Saccharomyces cerevisiae S288C: one gene and its partner. The protein of the gene in region 2 interacts with the protein of the main gene of each other region in a pairwise test. Each region holds a gene or a part of one and is shown on either strand. Other genes may lie near its edges.

The links.
Region 1: the proteins of UGA4 (region 2) and YFT2 interact in a protein complementation assay, tested with the Saccharomyces cerevisiae proteins (one large-scale study listed by BioGRID).

Annotation. Positions count from the first base shown.
Region 1 is NC_001136.10:1,099,910-1,110,508, reverse strand, and holds YFT2 (Yft2p), read left to right. Parts: upstream 1-4,681; coding exon 4,682-5,506; downstream 5,507-10,599. Other genes in the region: asparaginase ASP1, read right to left, coding at 662-1,807; DAD4 (Dad4p), read left to right, coding at 2,011-2,229; auxilin-like protein SWA2, read left to right, coding at 2,408-4,414; MCM21 (Mcm21p), read right to left, coding at 5,562-6,616, 6,700-6,751; HIM1 (Him1p), read right to left, coding at 7,081-8,325. UniProt on the Saccharomyces cerevisiae protein: Fatty acyl-coenzyme A (CoA) diphosphatase that hydrolyzes fatty acyl-CoA to yield acyl-4'-phosphopantetheine and adenosine 3',5'-bisphosphate. Preferentially hydrolyzes unsaturated long-chain acyl-CoA substrates in the endoplasmic reticulum (ER) lumen.
Region 2 is NC_001136.10:79,547-91,295, forward strand, and holds UGA4 (Uga4p), read left to right. Parts: upstream 1-4,723; coding exon 4,724-6,439; downstream 6,440-11,749. Other genes in the region: YDL211C (uncharacterized protein), read right to left, coding at 1-866; active spliceosome conformation promoter CWC2, read right to left, coding at 6,661-7,680; snoRNA-binding protein NHP2, read left to right, coding at 7,966-8,436; nucleoporin GLE1, read left to right, coding at 8,702-10,318; YCX1 (Ycx1p), read left to right, coding at 10,630-11,749. UniProt on the Saccharomyces cerevisiae protein: Required for high-affinity, high-specificity GABA transport. Also transports putrescine.

The DNA of each region.
Region 1 (10,599 bases), 1.0 Mb from region 2:
GTCTTATCCCAGACCTTCCGGCTTCCGGTTTAGCCCGGAAAATTTGAAAAGACTGCGACAGTAAATCCCAAACACATAAGAAAATAAAAAAAGGAATACATAAACAAAAATGGATATATAAAGGCTAATTTTTTTTTGTTTATCAAATATTCCTTATTTTTTAACTTTCTTAAAAATATTTAAACACCAGATTTCGAAAAAAGTAATATTTATTCTTTAAAAATGCGGTGACCAGCGGGCGATGATAATCAAATATTTAAAAATGATATAATGATAAAACTTGAATTATTTTTATAGGAAAAGTGGAACCAAAAGATTTTCTAATGCACTGATATCATGAGCAGTTAATGAAAAATTATTAATATTATTTTTTTTATATTTTTATTCAAAAATAACATTCAAAATTTAATTTTAATAAACTCATTTAAAAAAAACCTCTAAAAACATGAAGATAGAACTATAATAACGGCTTCAGTATTCAAGACAAAGCCATGTGCAGGTGAAACGATAGAAAAGTGACATAGCCGAGACAATCTAAATGAAGAATTCCTGTACTCATCTCAGACTAGCATTAACAGGGACTTGCATAATTATATCTCTATCTCTGTGTCTATGTATATATATATATATATCGACACAAATGCAAAAAATTACAAAATTTTCACCCACCATAGACGCCAGTGAAAACATGTTTAATTTCTTCCAACGTGTAGTTACCTGCCAAACATAATTGTAACAAGATTCTGCTCTTTTCAGGGCTTAGATAACCAGATGCGATGAGATTATCCTCCTTTGAACCTTTCTTTGGTACGTTGGCAATAGGCACCATACCATCCATCGATCTCTTGGAATATACGATCGGCAAACTCAATTTCATGCAGGTTTCATTGACCTCCTCCGGCAATGAACCAGCACCCATGGTAGCAAGAACAATACCATCATACTTATCTGCCACTAAGTTGACTATAGCTGGCGGAAAGGCTTGGTGAGCATATAAAATGCAAACCTCTGGTAATTTAAAATGCTTACCGTCCACTCTCAGTTTGAATTTGTGGCAACCTTGCGGTTTCACAGGAGGATAATAGTAGTGAATTTCATTGTTGACAAAATTTCCTAAATAGCCTTGTCTAACATTAAAAGAATCCAAACTATTTGCATTCGTCTTAGTAATGTAGTAACCAGAGGAAATTTGGTCATTCAAGGAAACAAGAACACCTCTTCCTCTAGATTTTGGATTTGAAGCAATGCAAATTGCTTGGTAAAGGTTCATAGGGCCATCAGCAGAAACGCTGGTTGAAGGACGCATCGAACCAACAAAAACAATAGGAACGTCGCCAGCATCAATAGTACTTTCAATAAAGAATGCAGTTTCAGATAGCGTATCAGTCCCATGGGTAATAACTATACCGTCAAAAGCCTGCAACGATTCTGAGACGCCCTTATAAATTTTATAAAGAATATCCTCGTTTATGTCTTTAGAATCCACGTTGCATAGTTGCTCATATTCAATGTCACAGACCTTGGATATATCTGGAATGGCATCCAATAGATCTTGGATGGTCAGGTCAACATGATAGCCGGCAGTTTGAGAGGAGTCTATAGCTTTCGATGCAATAGTACCACCGGTACCCAAGATTTTGATTCTTGGTAAGCTACGTTGTTGGCAAGCGATGCCGCTGCCATTCACAGCGGCATTTTGAGACTTTAGAATCTCTGGAATAGTCTCTGGACAGTTGCTTTGCACAACAAACTGAGAATTTTCAACATCTGGGCAGATGGTAGTGATTTCAACTGAATCGCTTTTCATGATACGCTTCCAAAAGTGCGATGAGAGTGCTGTTATCCTCCACTGTCTTCAAACACATTTCTTCAACAAAGTCATCGTCATCATCTTTTTTTTTTTTTTTTCATCGAGTATTTTTTCACACGAACGGCACAAGTAGCCTTCAACTGTAATAAACAAAAGCAGATAGGGAGGAAAAGAAGTGAGTTTAGGAAAGAAAGCATAACATGGAGAACCCTCATGAACAAGTGCAGGCTAACATACTTTCGCGAATAATTGGTAATGTCAAAAGGCTCAATGAGAGCGTGGCAATTCTTAACCAGGAGCTTGTGACCATTAATAATCGGAACAAAAATCTAGAAATCATGGGCGCAATTTGTGATAACTACCATAGTAGCGTCCAATTCAACCTGGAAGCGACCAATAACAAGAAGCCACCTCTTTAATTCACCAATTTTCTATATACGCATACTCATATACACATATATATATGCTATACCGTTTCTAATATATTCATTTAAGATCACTGTTTCCTGCGAAAAGGAGAAAAAAATAACAGCACATCGCTTAACCTATTCCTGTGCTTCTGGAAAGGACGCAGCCTGCAAGAAACAGTCAACATCAATGTCAGATCCATTTGCACATTTACTGACTTCTTTGAAGAATAAGGACTCTGCATCTGCATCCAAGGAAACAACTCCTCAGAGCAGCAATTCGCCTTCCATTACTGGTTCCGCTGTTGCAGATGTTGCAAGGACGGATAAAAGCCCCAATGATAGTCTGCATTCAATTTCAGCTCCTCCGCTGATACCGTCACCGAAGGTAGATTTTTCTGCACCTCCTTTGGTCCCAACTAATAGCACCACTAAATCTAATACTGCCAACAACACACCTCCCTCGGCTCTTGCCAATACCGATGACGACTTCAATCAACTATTTGGTATGGGCACAGTAACTACAACGGATACGATCCAAAAACCGGATGAGGATTACTATGGAAGCAAGGAAGACCACCTTTACAATGGTGATGACGCCTTAGTTGATGAAGTTAAGGATATGGAAATAGCAAGATTGATGTCTCTAGGTTTATCAATTGAAGAAGCCACTGAGTTTTACGAAAATGACGTAACTTATGAAAGATATTTGGAGATTTTAAAGTCAAAGCAAAAGGAGCGCAACGATCTAGCTATAAGAAAGAAAGAAAGTGGTATAAAAATGGAAAAGTCAGGATTATCCAACATTGTTGGTACAGATAGCAATAATTTATTCAGCATGGCCACTGATTTTTTCAATAAGGGTAAGAAACTGGTAGACCAATGGACCTCCTTCCCACCTGAGGCAAATGATAGACTGAATAATTACTCAAAAACTCATGATAAGGTTGAGGATTATGATTTGCCTCAAGTAAACGACTCACCCAATAGAATTTTGTTTGAAGATAATGAAGTCGTAGAGAACTTACCACCTGCCGATAATCCGGATCAAGATCTTTTAACTGATTTCGAAACAAAGATTGATATAACAAAGAGGACAGCGCCTGATGTCTCCCACTCCTCCTCACCGACTTCTGGTATACTAATTGAAGAAAATTCGCGAAGAAATGAGCCCCTGATAGAGGATAGTCTTCTCGACTTTTCAGAAGGAAATCTCACCAATAGTAAAAGCAATGAAGATAGCACCCTCTTCAATGAAAACAGCAACACTGACTCTACAATACCCATCTCAGATATTGAATTATCGGGGTATAACGAATTTAAGGCGAAAGGTACTAGTTTGTTCAAGAACGGGGATTATATTAACTCATTACAAGAATATGAAAAGTCTTTAAATACATTGCCTTTAAATCATCCATTGAGGATCATTGCATTATCAAACATTATTGCCTCGCAACTGAAAATCGGTGAGTACTCTAAGTCCATAGAAAACTCCAGCATGGCTTTGGAATTATTCCCATCAAGCAAAGCTAAGTGGAAGAATAAAATCTCAAATAGTGACCCTGAAAGATCATTTAACGACATCTGGCCAAAGATTATGATTAGGCGTGCTGAGTCTTTTGAACATTTAGAAAGTTTCAAAAAAGCACTAGAAACATACCAAGAGCTGATTAAGAAGAATTTTTTTGATGATAAAATCATGCAGGGAAAAAGAAGATGCCAAGACTTTATTAATCCTCCCCCTGTTAAAAAATCCATGCCCGTTAAGAAGAAGACAACGACAACCTCGCCTGCAACAAAAAAACAGAACTTAACCGCTTCTTCTTCAAATTCTCCAATTTCTGTTGATAGCACTTCAGAAATAAAAAAACGGGAGCTAGAAAACGCTAAACTGGCGCTATATGATAAAGTATTTGAGAAAATTAGCTCCTGGAAGGATGGCAAAGACGATGACATTCGTCATCTGTTAGCAAATTTATCCAGCTTACTAACATGGTGCAATTGGAAGGATGTCTCTATGCAAGATTTGGTTATGCCTAAGAGGGTCAAAATTACATACATGAAAGCTGTAGCCAAGACACATCCTGATAAGATACCAGAGTCCTTGTCCCTGGAAAATAAGATGATTGCAGAGAATATTTTCAGTACTTTAAGTATTGCTTGGGATAAGTTCAAACTGCAGAATGACATTAACTGATTTCCCTTGTGTGCCTGCTTCGCTCAGTTGTTTTTGATATGTACTTTATACAAATATATATAGGAAAACAAATTCTTCAAAGCGCGTTAGGAAAAAGTATGGAAAGGCTTAGTTTCATTTATTGACTTACAAGTGGCACCCAATTTGATTAATATGAAAAACAATCTGCAAAAAAAAAAAAAAAATTCAAAATATCACAATGTTAAAACACAATAGAAATAGGGCATTGTATTAAAACCACTGAACGACTAAAAATTGAAAAAGATTATGATACGTCAGCTCAATTATTGGTCAAGGAAGGCGTATCTCATTTACCCCTTTCAAGTTTTTGTAGGCGCATTATTATCAATAGTAGTATCTTCAGAAACATTAAACCATCAAAAAGAGACATGCGCTCTATTGAAATCGTCCAATATTTTCAATGTTATTTTTGCATACAAAGCGAACCAACTGTGGCCATTTTTATTCTTTAGTTTGGCTTTTCTGCAAATATACTTCCACTATCTAGCAAGAATGGATATATTGCCTTTACCAATATCAAGTACCGAAACTAGCTCTTCCTATTTAACATATACTAACCATTGGCCTCTGCTCAAAAATAGAATAATCAGTATTATGATCACTCAATATGCTTGCAAGTTCGTTCTAAAATATCTATTATTGTTTTTGAATTTCCAATTTATCGATCATGTTTTCATTTGGACAGGGGGAGAATGCAGTTCTGGTAGTAAAACGACATCAGCTGAAAAGTGCCGTCTAGAAAATGGGAAATGGGATGGTGGGTTTGACATTAGTGGACACTTCTGCTTTCTTGTGAGTATAAGCATGATTCTTTGGATGGAACTTCACTTATTCAGTAGATTTGTTCAAGCTGAAGATATGTTTTGGGTTGTGAATAAGTGGGTACGAGCTTGCCTTGCCATTGTTTGCGCTGTCCTAGTAATTTGGATATGTATTCTCTGGGTTACCGCTATTTATTATCATACTATCTTGGAAAAAGTGTTAGGTTGCCTTATGGGTTTCATATGCCCTGTTTTCATATACCACATTCTACCCAAAATTGGGATACTACACAATTACTTATATCTATGATAAACAGAGAAAATTAGCTCTATCCTCTTTCTATAAAGTATATTTTTGTTAACATTCACTTGAATATTGTCGCGAAAGAATGGTTTAATTTTAATTCCAAATCATCCAAAGAACCGAGCAATGCAATTTCCCATTTACTTTTATTATTTTGACTAAAATCATGAATATCGTCCAATATTGAACATGAAACTATTTCATTTTGTTTTACAAACAACTCGACTTTAATATCCTTCACAAAAAACGAAACCATTGAAGATTCTAAATCTAAATCTAAGTCGTGGATTATCTTCTTAGCTTCTAAGTCCTTAAAAATCTGTCGTCTTTTCTGTACTTCCACAAGTTGCAGGAAGACTCTTTTAGCAAATAAATAGGCGTCATCATGAGATATCACTAGTCCCCCATTGGTGTCATCAAATATACCTTGGACATCAATGAAACTCGGGATTGTATGCTTGAACAGGAACCAACTATTCGATTTGATCCTCTTTTTCAACAATACATAGTGAGGTTTTTCAAATTGGGATGTCCGTTCGCTGAAGACTTCCAGTCGTATTCCCAGCATTTCTCTATCAACAAATATTTCACCGCTAGCATCTTTTATCTTAAGGTCAATAGGGTCCACAAGAGGGAAAAATGTTATACCAAACATTCTATAAACATTTTCCAGGACAATATAATCTTCCAACTCACTTCTATCACTTGTACTAATATCGTCTATTTTTAGTTTTCGCTTTCTTTTTGAAGGTGACGTTAGAATGTCTGTATCCAATAAATCTGCCACCCCAGGATCAAACATTTGATGCTGAACCATTGGCTGGGTCTTTAAAACCCATTCTTGTTCTGGTAAAATTTCCTCATTCTCCAGCTTAGCTCTTTTCTTTGGTTCATACGGTATTGGCGTTGCTGGTATATCCGCTTGCGCCCTTGATATGTCCTTGTCATCTGTCTCTTCCAATTCTGGATGCTCATTAAATAAAAAATTATTCAACTGTGGGAATTGATCGAATAGATCTTCAAATTCTTGTACTATAGGATTAGCGCTCTCCTCATTTTTTCTTTTATCTTTTATCTTCGCTTTGAGCTTCTCACGACTTTCTTCTAATGAATTGACTGTGAAGATTCTACTATGTTAGTGTTCAACTTAATCATTTTTTTAAAAGAAAGAAAATTGTTACAGCCTCAAAATCACATACTTTCACTGAGTAAAGATTCAATGTCCTGCTGTAAATCATCGATTCTACTCATTGCCAGGAGCGTTACTGATAGTTTGAAAGAATTGCTCAAGTAAAGAAATCACATTTTCCCCTCATTATCCATATGGCTTTTGTTTGTTTTTTCTTCAGTTTTGAAATATGCGCGTTTTCTTACCATCATTATAAACTTAGGGAAGATCTATCATAGAATTGGTCGGCCATTACTGGCGATTAGTAAAACAATACATAAAGTTTGCATATTCAATGCGATAAAAATTTAAGACGGCCCAGGTATCGAATCCATGATATAGTGGTTCTTTTATGTATTAGGCTACTATTTATTTAATAACTTCGCATCTATCAAAAGAAAAGACTGACTGTTCACACAATCATATCAATTTGATAACTGCTAATTACTTCCAGCTTAGGTCCCGCCTCTTTACTTTTCCTTTCAATCGCCATCAAAGAGGCAACATAAGAAACCTTTGAAACTGGGACAGCGTATCCTAATAATGCAGATCCTGGCATCCTATATATACTGGAAGCAATTATTTCGCTTAACTTTGTTCTTAAGCCAATCCTTCTGGCCTCACTGATATATTTCTTTTTATAAACTAAAAGATAGTGAGGATAATAAAAAATTTTTTCCAAGAAAGTGGAGTTTTCTTTACCCAATTCAACGTTTATAGGATTTCCGTGCTGTCCACACATCGGACCTGGCCTCAAAATAACTAGCTCCTTTAGCTTATTTGGCAAAGCTTCATCCAAGTCATTTTCTAATTTAGCTTTTATTCTAAAATACTCGAAAGTTTTACTAAGAAAATCATTATTAAAGGCAGTTGTAACCACCAACCTTTTGTTAGTTGTATTCGTGAATTCTTGTGCTAAATTAAAAGGTAAGTAATAGTCAGCAAAGGAACTTGGTACCTGAGTTCTCCGCACTCTAGCTGAGGTGGAGCCCAAAGAGCACACCATAGTGCTAATATCACACAGACTAGGCAAACTTCTACCGGGAACGTAATTTTTGTTGTCAATGTCAAACTTTTCCAGCTTTTGTGTTCCTGAGAATATCCGTGGAAGCAATTTTGGCCAAGTTTCAGATCTGGGGATGATCAATTGCGTTACAGTAAAATTACAAATGATCTCAATACCTTTTTCCTTTCCGCATGCATAATGTAGTGTGTAACTGAACTGTTTCTGATTATAAACAAAAGAATAACCATCTTTTCCCCTCTCTTCAGGCGTATTTTTAATAAATCCTTCTTCAAAATTATCATAACAAAAAGTATTAGGACTAGACGGTACTTTTTCAGTGTCTTTTTCTTTCCTGCTTCTCAAGTAATATCTGCCACCTTGCCAAGTAACTGATCTCATATTTATATAATCAATGGTCTTCATAAATGATTTCTCCTCATTGATGCACCTTCTATTAACACAAAAGACATGTTTATTGAGAACGACATTTCCCTTTATTTCACTTAAGCTATCAAGCTTGCCTTGTAGGTCCGAAACATTTTTAATATATAAATTTATGTCCAACAGGTTCTCTAAAATACCTTTTCCTACTAAACTAGATGATCCAAACAATAAAACGTAATCTGTAAACGTGTTGACACTATAACTCATTTCTGATCAACCTTTCTAGTTTGGAATATTCTTCAAAGGGTCTATATGTATAAAAAGCTGTCATTTATATTAAAAAGAATTTATAGCGTTTACTGCGGATCAAAATTAAATACGTCAATTTTTCTTAAAATTTCTTTTAATCTAAATGACACAAAAAATGTCACCCATCATTATATGTATTGAAAACCAAAAAAAAAAAAGGAAAATTATACTTTCAATGAAAGACACAAAAATGAAGAAGTTCAAGGATATAAAAGTTAGTTTTTACCTGTTGAATTATATGCAGAGTTACTGTTAAATTACAACAACTTATCGTTTCTTGATGAGTATTCAAGGTGACGGAATATTATCATATATGATGTAATAAAATGACATAAATGATAAGAATGCGTTATCAAATTTAAAAGCAACTGAAACGCACGGATTGATGATAAAAAAGGATAACGATTGGTAACATTTAGACTAAAGAATAGATCGTAATATAGGAGATTTGAGAAATATGTGGGTAATTAGATAATTGTTGGGATTCCATTGTTGATAAAGGCTATAATATTAGGTATACAGAATATACTAGAAGTTCTCCTCGAGGATATAGGAATCCTCAAAATGGAATCTATATTTCTACATACTAATATTACGATTATTCCTCATTCCGTTTTATATGTTTATATTCATTGATCCTATTACATTATCAATCCTTGCGTTTCAGCTTCCTCTAACATCGATGACAGCTTCTCATAACTTATGTCATCATCTTAACACCGTATATGATAATATATTGATAATATAACTATTAGTTGATAGACGATAGTGGATTTTTATTCCAACATACCACCCATAATGTAATAGATCTAATGAATCCATTTGTTTGTTAATAGTTTGAATGTTTTTATCGGAAGAGGTTTGGTCATTACGTCTGCAATATTCTTTTTGGTTTCGATATAGCATACGTGCAGATGATTTCCTGATACTTCATCTCTTAGTCTCATTGCTTTAGTACCAAAAAATCTGTTTCTAAATTTCTCTTCATTATTGGATATAATTATACTGATTGTAGATTTACTGTCGGTTAGTAATCCTTTAGTAATTGGTTTCTTGTTAAGTTCTTGCACAAGGTGACTGAGGTTATTTAATAATGGGACAGATTCACTTATCGCGTGTATTTCTGCTTCCGTAGTTGAAGTACATGTTAATGAAGCCTTGGTGGACTTTCCTCCAATTACCTTTCCATTAAGTAAATATATGTTGCCAATTTGTGACTTGTAATATGGTTGGTTACCATATGAAGCATCACTTATTGCGACTAGTTTATTATCTGGCTCGGTAGGTTTGTTTTTGTGCCATATCAGTTGTTTATCTCTAGTGTCCCACATGAATTGTATTAACTCATATGTCATGTCTAAAACTTGCCTAGAGGGGAATAGTATATGTTGAGCAAGTGTGTTGATGTAGTATAGTAAGTCAAATCTAAATTTATATCCAACATATGAAGCTAGACCAATCAACTTTTGCATTTCATGTACCTTCTCTTTGTATTCATCTTCATCTATTTCTAGTTCATCCTGGTCTATATAAAGACCTGGTTGACCTGGAGCGCTAAGTTTTCTTCCTTTTGGATTCAAAGGTACGTTTAATTTGGGTATTTTCTCAGTTAATGAGTTTTCCATACCTAATTTCATGTATTTACCTCTTTGATATTTGATTTCTAAGCCAAGTATGTCGTACTGAATTTCGTTATCACTTTCACCCAGATTTATTATCTTTGTATCGTATTGTTTCTTGAGTGTTGTTATGATTTTCTTATTTGCATTTAAGTCTTTGCTGAACAATATCATATCATCAACGAATAAGCAAATTGTTACTTGACTATTCTTAAATACGCATGACCATCCACGAACTTCTTCCATACCACACTGTTTTATCAGGTATGATTTGATAGTTTCGTACCAGTTCGCTCCACTTTGTTTCAATCCATAAAGTGATTTCTTCAAACGTATCAACTTATCATTCATTCCTAAATGTGGTGGAGGTCTTATGTATAATTCTTCTTTGATGTCTGCATACAAATATGCCGAAGATATGTCTAATTGTGTAATATAGTAGTTATTGTCTAATGCAAGTGACAGGGATGTCATTAATGCATAGTGATGTACGGTATTGGATTGCATGCCTGAGTCGTAAGTGTCAGGATGCTGAATATCACCTCTTGCAACAAATCTAGCTTTATGAGTACCGTCACGTTTCCTGTTGAAGATAAACATTGAATTTATTACT
Region 2 (11,749 bases):
ACTTTATAATTAAGGACATTTAGGAACGGATTTGACGGTGCTTCTGTTTCTGTTACCTCATCACAACTTACCCTCTTGCCAATATCATGGCTAAAGCCCTTTTTGCTGTGATTTTTCACGTTTCGTCTGTTTCTAATAATTATGAATCCGATAAAAATTACTATTACAACTCCAATGACAACTCCAACCGTAGAACCGACAATAACTCCGGTCCTTCTATTATTGGCATCTGAGGTATCTTGAGTGTTTAGTGCACCAGATAGATATTGATAAAGTTTAGCATCCCCGGTAATGGTATTGGATGGAATGGTGAAAGTTAACGGAGGATTTGATTCTTGAAGCACAGTTGTTTGGGGAAAGTGGGTGTTAAATGTTGTCGATCGCTCTGTAAATTTGTATTCTTGGTCATAGATGATATAAACTGAGTTCTCGCTGGTGAATACGGAGTATATTTCCGATGTAGAGGTTGAGGTAAATGTTGTAGATAATGGTGTTGTTAGTTTAGTCGTCGAAGGCTCTATGGTTGGCACCTGTGAAGTAGTGAAAGTCTTCAATGTACTTAACAGTCCTCTATCGATAGTGATATTGCTTTGAACAGAGGAAGTGCAATTGCTAACCAGATATTGTGGACTTGAAGTGTTGTTGCGGAAGGAAGTCGTACCATATGCGGTTGATATGGGGACCTGAATCGAACTTTCTAAACCCTCAATGAGGTTCGTCGTAATTGAGGATACAACCTCAGTGGATAATGCAAAAATGTGGTCTGTAGCTGATGATAAGCTGGCGGTTTCTGACGTGTCAATTTCACTCAGACTTCTGGATTGAGGTGTGCTTATGTATTGCGAAGACGTTACATTTAGTAGCATGGCGAAGTATCGCAATAGAAAGAATTATCAAGATGCCTCGCGCCTTTTGAGGATGTAAAAATAAATCTTAACGTTCTATGAATTACTTTATTATCTCGAGCAGAACCATCTGAATTTTGTTTACGTTTAATCTATGAGAAATTTCTCTGACGCGAAATCTTTCACGTATTTTTAGAGCGCCCGCCCAAGGTAACATACAATACGGTTGATATCTCCTAGTTTGATGCGGTTAGTGAAATTAATATAATGAACTAATATACTCTTTTTTTTGTAAAATATGTACTTGAGCTGCTGCATTCTTCTTCCATCGTCCAGTGATATCGGTAAACCGGTAGCTTTTTCTTAACTTTGAACAAAGAAGAGATAACTACGGACCCTTCTCCACGTTTCGATCTTTGGCTTCACTTCCTCATAGCCTGTATTTGAATCTAGCAGGTGTAATATTGTGGAAGAATGAAAACAGTATTTTTAATGGATTACTAAGGCATATTTAATGCGTTGTCAAGGAGGATGCTTGCACTGCAAAAACGATACATAAGTTAGCATGGGAATTTCATTAATGAAAGAATAAATGCACCGAAACAAAATCATGAATTAATTGTGGTTTCAGAATAATGAAAAATCCATTGGCTGTTCCTGTTCCTATGTGAATGGTTCATCTCTGCCATAATAATTACTATTTTGTTTAAAGAGTCTTTACTAGATATTGCCGTTCACCTTTTGCCTACGAGCTAGCGATAGAGATTTCTGTATGGTATCTGACTTGACATAATGTCCGACATCCCGTTGAAGATATCAAACAATACATGACAAAGGTCGGGCATTAATCTGCTCAAACATTAATTCTTTAAACCTATCTCGATCATATCTAAGAAAGAAAAAAAACTGGCTTTTCGGTTCCTAGTGTTAACTCCAGTACCTGGTGTTGAGAAAAATTTACTATGTGGCCCGGCTAAGTAGTGCAATATTCTGGTACCATACTTCTAGAAATTTTTGCGCGATAACCTAGTGTTTTCTGACGAAGATTTTGGTGTCATTTGTATCTTCGTCGGTACAAAATGGTAATCATAGTATGTTTCCATGTTTTTGGACAAAAAAAAGAAGAAGGTAGCCAAAGAGCTGAATTTGCTATTCTTTTGTGATTATTGTGCGCAAAATAGTGACATTTTCTTTCTCAAATTAGTTACACCCCGGATCCTAACCTTTACTGGCCTGTTGACGTTATTTGTTACGGGCTCAGCCCATCTGAGTAAATTTGGCAATTGTGTTCAAGTCAACGCCTGGAATCATTCCCAGCGTTTTATTATGGACTGGGACTCTTGCAACTGTTCTACTGGCACAGTGGATTTATAGTGAACTGGATTTTTCAAAAATGGCTTCACTTTGAGAAACACTATTTACTATGTTTGTTAACTTCTTAACAGTGTGTATTACTTTTTTGCCATATTGATATTAAAAAAGTCATTTCGACTGCTGACAGAGAATACAACTAGTAACTGGAGAGATAGCTGGTGCAGTGAGTGATTCCACATAATGCCAGACTTCTACTCGTCAGCCAGTTCGATTGTTGAGGAAACATAGCAAAGCAGTTAAGCTGTTTTATTTGTTGGCGAAATCGAACTTGTGAAAGTTGTGGGCTATCCTCGCTTTGATTACATGAGTAGAACCCAAGGATTTATGGAAAATTTGACTGGCTTCAAGATTTTTAAGGCAGTTCTATGAGATCACACACTTAATCCGCTTCCAGAATTTATTTTCTTTTTTTGATGATTTATGCTCAAGGAATTTACCTGTTCTCAAGAATATGTTTTTAATTCGAAGCTTTGCGTATATGATGTTTATCAATAACGTGTGCATCGTCGATATCTCTTCGCTAACAAAAAGCAATTTAAGTACCAAACAAACAGTAGTAATAGAGTGGGTCTACTTTGTCGATTGCCGTAGCAGGACATTTAACGCAAACGCTTCGGTAATCTGGTGAAATGATTGGATTAGGTGTTTTGTAAATTTTTTTTTTTTTTAGAAGATATTAATGCTGCATAGGGGAGAGATAAACGTCGCGGGAATTTGTGGCGGTGGAGCCCAGGTACGTATTAATTTTGAATGGCGCAAATCTACTAAGTACGGTATCATTTTGATGTCGGAATACGGATAGTCAGTCCATAACTGCACCACCAATATTTTTCTTGCCGTTCTCATTTCCTGCACAGTTTCTTTGATTATGTTTGCAGAAGAATTTCTTTATCGTTTAGTCTAAACAAAGAATTCGTTGTAAAGAATTTGAGAGCGGATCTTGCATTTTTTATTTATCATGCTTATGTTTTTTCTTTGATGTAAGAAGAAGCAAGTAAGATATGTGAATATCTTATCACTAATTCAAATAACTAAGAGAGCTCACAACGACAATTTGTGACAGCATGCGAAGCAAAGAGCAGTGATACCAGTATCTTTCATCCAGTAATAACATACGACTGATGTTATAGTTAAATGTTACATTTTGAGAGACTTCAACCTCTCGAAACCAAGAGGTTGGTTTTAACTCTGGTGACTTCAAGAAGGGTGGGTACCTTTTACAAAGCTTGAGACGAAGCAATAGTCAGTCTCTGTATAACAAGGAGACCACCTCATTTTCCAGTAACTCTTGAGGCATGTCGGATGGTTTGCCTTGAATAAACCGCAGTCATTATAATGAATGGCCTGTACTTTCAAAACAGTCTGGAAACAGAAATCCATTGCTGAGGTACCTTTTAGTAGCACTTTCGTTAGTGAAGGTTTAAGGTTAGTTCTTATTTACTGCACAAGAGTTTACATTTAACCACTCTAATAGTAACTGTTAGAGTGGTTTAACTGTTAGGTGATCTGTTCATTCCATTTTTCGTGTTGTATCTCAAGATGAGATAGCTTAGCGTTGCTACATACATAAATCTAAACATATAAACACCTGTGTAACTCGTTAACGTCTGGGCTTCCATGCTTCTACCATTTAGAATGATGTAGACCATTTATTCCAAGAGGATAAGCACCCTCTGTGATTCAAAATGATAATAAGTGTTGACGACAAGTTACTCTCGCAGAATTGTTGTCAACAGTCTTGTATTAGTTGTTATCCAACGCTCCCGTTTTCAAGTTCACTTAGCGCAAGTGGTTTAGTGGTAAAATCCAACGTTGCCATCGTTGGGCCCCCGGTTCGATTCCGGGCTTGCGCAAGTTTAATTTTTTTTCTTTTTCCACATTGTTTTCCACTTTGCACTCATTTCCAGTGTTTATTGTGAATGACAATTTCTTCAATCATTGAAATGATTGATTTTTTGGGATCTATTTTTCTCTTTAGTGGTTACTGATCAGGCAACTCTATATCATTGTTTAACCGCGGCTTGCGTATCTTATTTTCTTTTTCCTAGGCATCTTACTAAGGTACTCTTATCGCTAATCGCTTATCGCTTATCGTGCGCCAAAAACCGCCGGCGGCAATTTCGAGATGTTTTATGTCATGTTGGATTTTGCAATCTATTACCATGGAGGTGAGGGCCTTCGATGGTCCAATACCGGTGCACGTACCCATGTACGTTTATCGAATAAGGGGAGAACCTACTAATTTTAAGTCGGATAACGCGGCTTGGCACAGTAATCAGTTCCTTCTTTGGGTTAGAATCTTGATGTGAGATTGTGCTCAGTGATAATGATAGCGAATACGGCTTACTCTTGAATAACAAATGCATATATATTAAGAAGTAGTTCAAACGTATTCTGTTGACTGGCATGGTCCTTTCCTTCTTGTTGTGATTATATAAAACAGTATAAGCTGTTTACTTCAGTTGTGAAGTGTAACAAGGTCTTATAATTTATTATTACTAACAATGAGTATGTCAAGCAAAAACGAGAATAAGATATCAGTAGAACAAAGAATATCCACTGATATCGGTCAGGCTTACCAGTTACAAGGCCTTGGGTCTAACCTAAGGTCGATTCGCTCCAAGACTGGTGCCGGTGAAGTGAACTATATCGATGCTGCTAAATCTGTAAATGATAACCAACTGCTTGCAGAGATCGGTTATAAACAAGAATTAAAAAGACAATTTTCAACATTACAAGTTTTCGGTATTGCGTTCTCCATTATGGGTCTATTGCCCTCCATTGCATCTGTGATGGGTGGTGGGCTCGGTGGTGGTCCAGCAACATTAGTGTGGGGTTGGTTCGTTGCTGCGTTTTTCATTTTACTGGTGGGTATTACCATGGCTGAACATGCAAGTTCCATTCCTACCGCTGGTGGTTTGTACTACTGGACGTATTACTATGCTCCAGAAGGTTATAAAGAGATTATTTCTTTTATTATTGGTTGCTCAAACTCCCTAGCGTTGGCAGCCGGTGTGTGTTCCATTGATTACGGTTTGGCTGAGGAAATTGCTGCTGCTGTCACATTAACCAAAGATGGAAATTTTGAAGTAACGAGTGGGAAACTTTACGGTATATTTGCTGGAGCAGTGGTGGTTATGTGTATTTGTACATGTGTTGCTTCTGGGGCCATTGCTCGTCTGCAGACGCTAAGTATATTTGCCAATCTTTTCATTATTGTTTTATTGTTCATTGCGCTACCGATTGGTACCAAGCATAGAATGGGAGGTTTCAATGATGGTGACTTTATATTTGGGAAATATGAAAACTTAAGTGACTGGAATAATGGTTGGCAATTTTGTCTTGCTGGTTTCATGCCTGCTGTCTGGACTATTGGTTCCTTTGATTCATGTGTCCATCAATCTGAAGAAGCCAAAGATGCCAAGAAATCAGTCCCCATTGGTATAATCTCATCTATTGCTGTTTGTTGGATTTTAGGTTGGTTGATTATTATTTGTTTAATGGCCTGTATCAACCCTGATATTGACAGCGTTTTGGACTCCAAGTACGGCTTTGCTTTGGCTCAAATAATTTATGATTCGTTAGGAAAAAAATGGGCCATTGCATTTATGTCATTGATCGCATTCTGTCAATTTCTAATGGGTGCTTCCATTACCACAGCTGTTTCTAGACAAGTTTGGGCATTTTCCCGTGATAACGGTTTGCCCCTATCAAAGTATATTAAAAGAGTGGATTCTAAATACTCGGTCCCTTTTTTCGCTATTTTGGCTGCCTGTGTAGGTTCCTTGATTTTAGGATTGTTATGTTTGATTGATGATGCCGCCACTGATGCATTATTTAGTCTGGCTGTTGCAGGAAACAATTTGGCATGGAGTACCCCTACAGTTTTCCGTTTAACATCAGGTAGAGATTTATTTAGACCTGGTCCATTTTATTTGGGTAAAATCTGGTCTCCAATTGTTGCTTGGACAGGTGTTGCTTTCCAATTGTTCATTATTATTTTGGTTATGTTCCCCTCTCAACAACATGGTATTACTAAATCCACAATGAATTATGCATGCGTTATTGGTCCCGGTATCTGGATCCTTGCAGGTATCTACTACAAAGTTTACAAGAAGAAATACTACCACGGTCCAGCAACCAATTTGTCGGATGATGATTATACTGAAGCCGTTGGTGCTGATGTTATCGACACAATTATGTCCAAACAGGAACCATAAATGTTCAAACCTTTATAAAGATTTTATATTCAGAGTTTATAAGGTCTAGCTTATATAGTCAGTATTTTTAATTTAATTATATTATAGTTTATCCTATCTCACCGTTTTAGCTTGTTTTCTGCGCCCAAACATAAAAATCAAGAAGCGCGGATAATTTATGATCAGCTCAGCGGGAATGTTAATGGCAGATACTTAGAATTTGGTGGAAACGATTTTCTTCTCTAATCCTCATCAGAGGAGAGGTAATCGAGCAAGGGACCACCAAGCTTACCAACAGATGGCTTTGATGAAATATTTTCTCTACTGATATTTTTTTTCACTTTCTTCAATTTTTCTATAAAATCATCACTCTCCATTCCATTATCTAATGGCAATAGTCTTTTCTTGACATTATCAACACTTGCTTCTGGAAATGTCCTGTCTAACCTTTCATTATTCTTATTATTAACCTCAGTGCCAGCACTATTGGTATTGTTATTGATTAGATGCACCATCATGTTTAAAGACTCTAACTTCAGTTCTTCTTGCAGTCTTTTCTGTGCAGCGGGGTCTGGATCTTCATTTGCCCATTTCACCAATAGTCCAGTACCCTCCCTTCTATCATCCCATTCTTTATCGCTGGGTAGCAGCAATGTCTGATTGCTCATGGCTTCTTTGGCAAATTCTGCATTAGCTTGATATTTAAACTTCACAAATCCACAGTTTTTGCTCTCAACGTATCGTATTCTATCAATATCACCCAATCGAGAAAATACAAATCGAATTCTGCTTTCTATCTGAGCTGGCTTCAAATGCTTGCTATTCAATGCTCCATCAATACCACCTACATACAATGTCTTGTTTTTCTTCCTAAATGAACCGATCCCGCCCATATCCTCTCTATAGTCAGCAAATTTTTCTCTACCAAAACAGTCCAATACCTCTGTCCTCAGGGCCAGTTTACCTATATCTTCTTCGTCTGGTATATGATGCAGATATTCACATTTAGGGCCAAGGCAACACATACCCTTTGCAAAAAATAGACAGAAGAACAACTGGCCATCATTATCGCCCCTAGTCTTCCCAGAATGAAGTTGCGGCTGCAAAGCAAATGGACTAACAAATCGTGTATTCCCCGCAAACCCTTGGGACCATTTATTATACCATATATTAAACGTCAATCCAGTCTGCGCCGGTATAGAGGAGGGCAGTTCTGACTCCTTCACTTGCACTTTCGCGGATTTATCCCTCCAAGATGTCATCCAAATTTCTATCAATGCGTATACTGTCTTACTAACGTCGTTACTACCTTAAGGCCCATCGCCAGTAGTCTTTATTATGATCCAGCCTTCAATACATAATGGAAAATTTCATCATTACCCGCATATGTACGTATGTAACGATGGAATGCTCAAAAACTGAAAAAAATTTTTCTGAAAAAAAGTGATGAGGAATAAAGAAAAGTAAAAAACGAATGCATGATATAGTAGTAGTAAATGGTCAATGGATCATTGGGTAGCAGAGAAACGGAAACAAGTGCAGTAAAAATGGGTAAAGACAACAAGGAACATAAGGAAAGCAAAGAAAGCAAAACCGTAGACAACTATGAGGCCAGAATGCCTGCTGTGTTGCCATTCGCTAAACCATTGGCCTCTAAGAAACTAAACAAGAAGGTCTTGAAGACCGTGAAGAAGGCTTCCAAGGCCAAGAATGTTAAAAGAGGTGTCAAGGAAGTTGTCAAGGCCTTAAGAAAGGGTGAAAAAGGTTTAGTCGTCATCGCCGGTGACATTTCTCCAGCTGATGTTATTTCCCACATCCCAGTCTTATGTGAAGATCACTCTGTCCCATACATCTTCATACCTTCAAAGCAAGACTTAGGTGCCGCTGGCGCTACAAAAAGACCTACCTCAGTTGTCTTTATCGTCCCAGGTAGCAATAAGAAAAAAGATGGAAAAAATAAAGAAGAAGAATACAAGGAATCTTTCAACGAAGTTGTCAAAGAAGTTCAAGCTTTATGAAAAAAGTTCGCTTCTTAACCATATTAGAAATCTAGAAGAAATAAAAAAAATCTGGCATTAGATATATATTTTGACTGTAGGCCTTCTGTATATTATATAATACTACTAATAACATCAAATGTTTGTGACTTTTCGGGTAACCGGGCTTCGTTCTACTGTTCCACTTTTTGTATGTTTAATGAAAATATCATCAAAGAAATAGGTATATAATTGATAACAAGAGAATCGCGGGCCGTTGCTACAGGATATTCTGCAGAGTCGAAGAATGAGATTTGTGTTCGATGAGGTTTTCAATTCAGATACTGATTCTCCAGAATTTGAGGAAACATGTTCTACAACATCTTCTACGTCATCGCAATGCCCTACACCTGAGCCGAGCCCAGCAATAAAGTTACCTTCATTCACGAAAGTTGGCACGAAGAAATTGGTAAATGAGTCGGTAGTTATTTTAGATCCTGCTCTAGAAAACGCCTTGCGCGATTTGAACCTTCAATCGAAACTGATCCCCATTAATGAGCCCATTGTAGCCGCGTCATCGATAATAGTACCGCATTCAACCAATATGCCACTACCGAGAGCATCGCATTCGTCATTGCTAGATAATGCTAAGAACTCAAATGCGACAGCACCCTTACTCGAGGCAATAGAAGAATCTTTTCAAAGGAAAATGCAAAACTTGGTGCTTGCCAATCAGAAAGAAATTCAATCTATTAGAGAAAATAAACGTCGTGTTGAAGAGCAACGTAAGCGAAAAGAGGAGGAAGAGCGCAAACGTAAGGAAGCTGAGGAAAAGGCCAAGCGGGAGCAGGAATTATTACGTCAAAAGAAGGATGAAGAAGAACGTAAACGCAAAGAAGCTGAAGCAAAGCTAGCGCAGCAGAAACAAGAAGAAGAAAGGAAGAAAATAGAAGAACAGAATGAAAAGGAAAGACAATTGAAAAAAGAACATGAAGCCAAATTATTGCAGCAGAAGGATAAATTGGGTAAAGCAGTTACAAACTTTGATAAAATCTCCAAAATGTTTTGGCATTATAAAGACAAAATTGCTCAAATAAAGCAAGACATAGTTCTGCCTATAAAAAAAGCTGATGTGAATGTAAGGAATTTGCTCTCACGTCATAAAAGGAAAATTAACCCGAAATTCGGACAATTAACTAATAGCAACCAGCAACTTTTTAAAATACAGAATGAACTAACTCAATTGATAAATGATACTAAAGGCGACTCTCTAGCATATCATTGGATTTTAAACTTTATTGCCAAAGCCGTAGTACATCAGGCGGAAACAGAAGTCAGGGTAAAACCAGAGTCTGCTCTGCCCCTAGGGAAATTGACTTTATATTTGTTAGTCCAATTCCCAGAGTTACAGGAATTGTTTATGGCAAGACTTGTCAAGAAATGCCCCTTTGTGATAGGATTCACGTGTGAGATTGACACAGAAAAAGGCCGTCAAAACATGGGATGGAAAAGAAACAACGAGAATAAATGGGAAGATAACACATCCTACGATGAGAGAATGGGCGGGATCTTATCATTATTTGCCATAATAACGAGATTACAGTTACCTCAAGAATTTATCACCACCACGAGTCATCCTTTCCCCATCGCATTATCGTGGCATATTTTGGCTAGAATATGTAATACGCCACTAAATTTAATAACAAATACCCATTTTGTCATACTCGGTTCGTGGTGGGATGCCGCTGCCGTACAGTTTCTTCAGGCGTATGGGAACCAAGCCTCTAAATTGCTAATCTTGATTGGTGAGGAATTGACCTCCAGAATGGCTGAAAAGAAATATGTGGGTGCTGCGAGATTAAGAATTTTATTAGAGGCCTGGCAAAATAATAATATGGAGTCCTTTCCGGAAATGTCTCCTTAGAAAATTCTGAACTTATATATGCACATTATGCTAATACACTTTATAATGACTTTATTTTAAACGTCGCCATTTTTAGTTTTATTTTCGGCTCGATATCAAGGGATGGCAGAAAATACGTCATGAATATTAAGCCGTAAGTGGGAAAAGTTAAGACAATCTCCCACTCAAATATACGTACGTGAAATTGACATTTGAACTACCGCTCATAATATCTTATTCGATCAAGCAGAATATTCATTCTTTTTCCGGCGCCTATCTCCTTACCTTTATTTGTAAATGCTACTCTTCATTTATCAAATTTTTTAAAGCAGATGCATAAACCTTTAAGATGGCTAATAACGATAGCCTTCTACGTTTCGAACGTTATATTAATAGGCTATTCCCTTTCTAGTAATGGCTCAATATCTGAATTTTATCTGCATTCTGTTGTACTTATTGAATGCTTCTCTTTACTAGGAGTGGTTACCTCTGACTGCTTAACACCATCTTTGTCATACATTTCCAGTAACATATTCCATATTTCCGATAGAGTATCCGGCATGACTTTATTAGCATTGGGGAATGCACTTCCTGATATTACTAGTACTTACCAGTCGATGAAATCTGGCGTGACTTCCTTGGCCATTGGTGAGTTATTTGGTGGCATATTTTTTCTGTTAACCGTTGTGATTGGACTAATGGGCTGCGTAGCCACTATTCAATTTCAACATGACAAGTCTATTGAAACTTACACAGAAGAAAGCTTTGACCAAAATTTATCGTATGATAGAAGCAATTATATATTGGATGTCGGAATATTCACTTTTATGCTCTTAGTTTCGGGCACTTTTCTAGCAGATGGAAGACTGTACTTTTGGGAGTGTATTGTCATGGTTTTAACCTACTGCTGTTGTGCTGTCTATTTAATAAAAAGCTACAAATATCCCTGCGAAATCAATGATGCTTTAGAAAGAGAGGTAGAAATAAAAAAAACTGTACTTGCAAATAATCATATCACTGTTCCAAATCGATTTACATTAACGACTACCAGTGACATTACATCCACAGACGATGGAATAAGATATGTAAGGCCTTTGGGGGATACACAGATTGATGAGGACAACGCTATTAGTTTAGATCCAACTCGTTTACCAAGTAAATCCCTGGATAACATTTCGAGATTTAATCAAGGTATACCTGAAAGAAGGGATTTAATAAGACGTAGAATACGGGGATATTTACGGTCGCATTATCATGGCTGGGTAAGAATGACGTTACAAGATCTTTTGAATATATGGGAGAAGCAGAATCTTTTTAACAATACAGTAAAATCGTTGTCTTTACCCTCCGATGATACTCATTTATTTACTAAAGCTTCTTTAGATGAAGAAGGGAGGCCTTTAATAAGAAAAAGGATGAATTCATTACAACCTAAGGATTTTTACAAATATT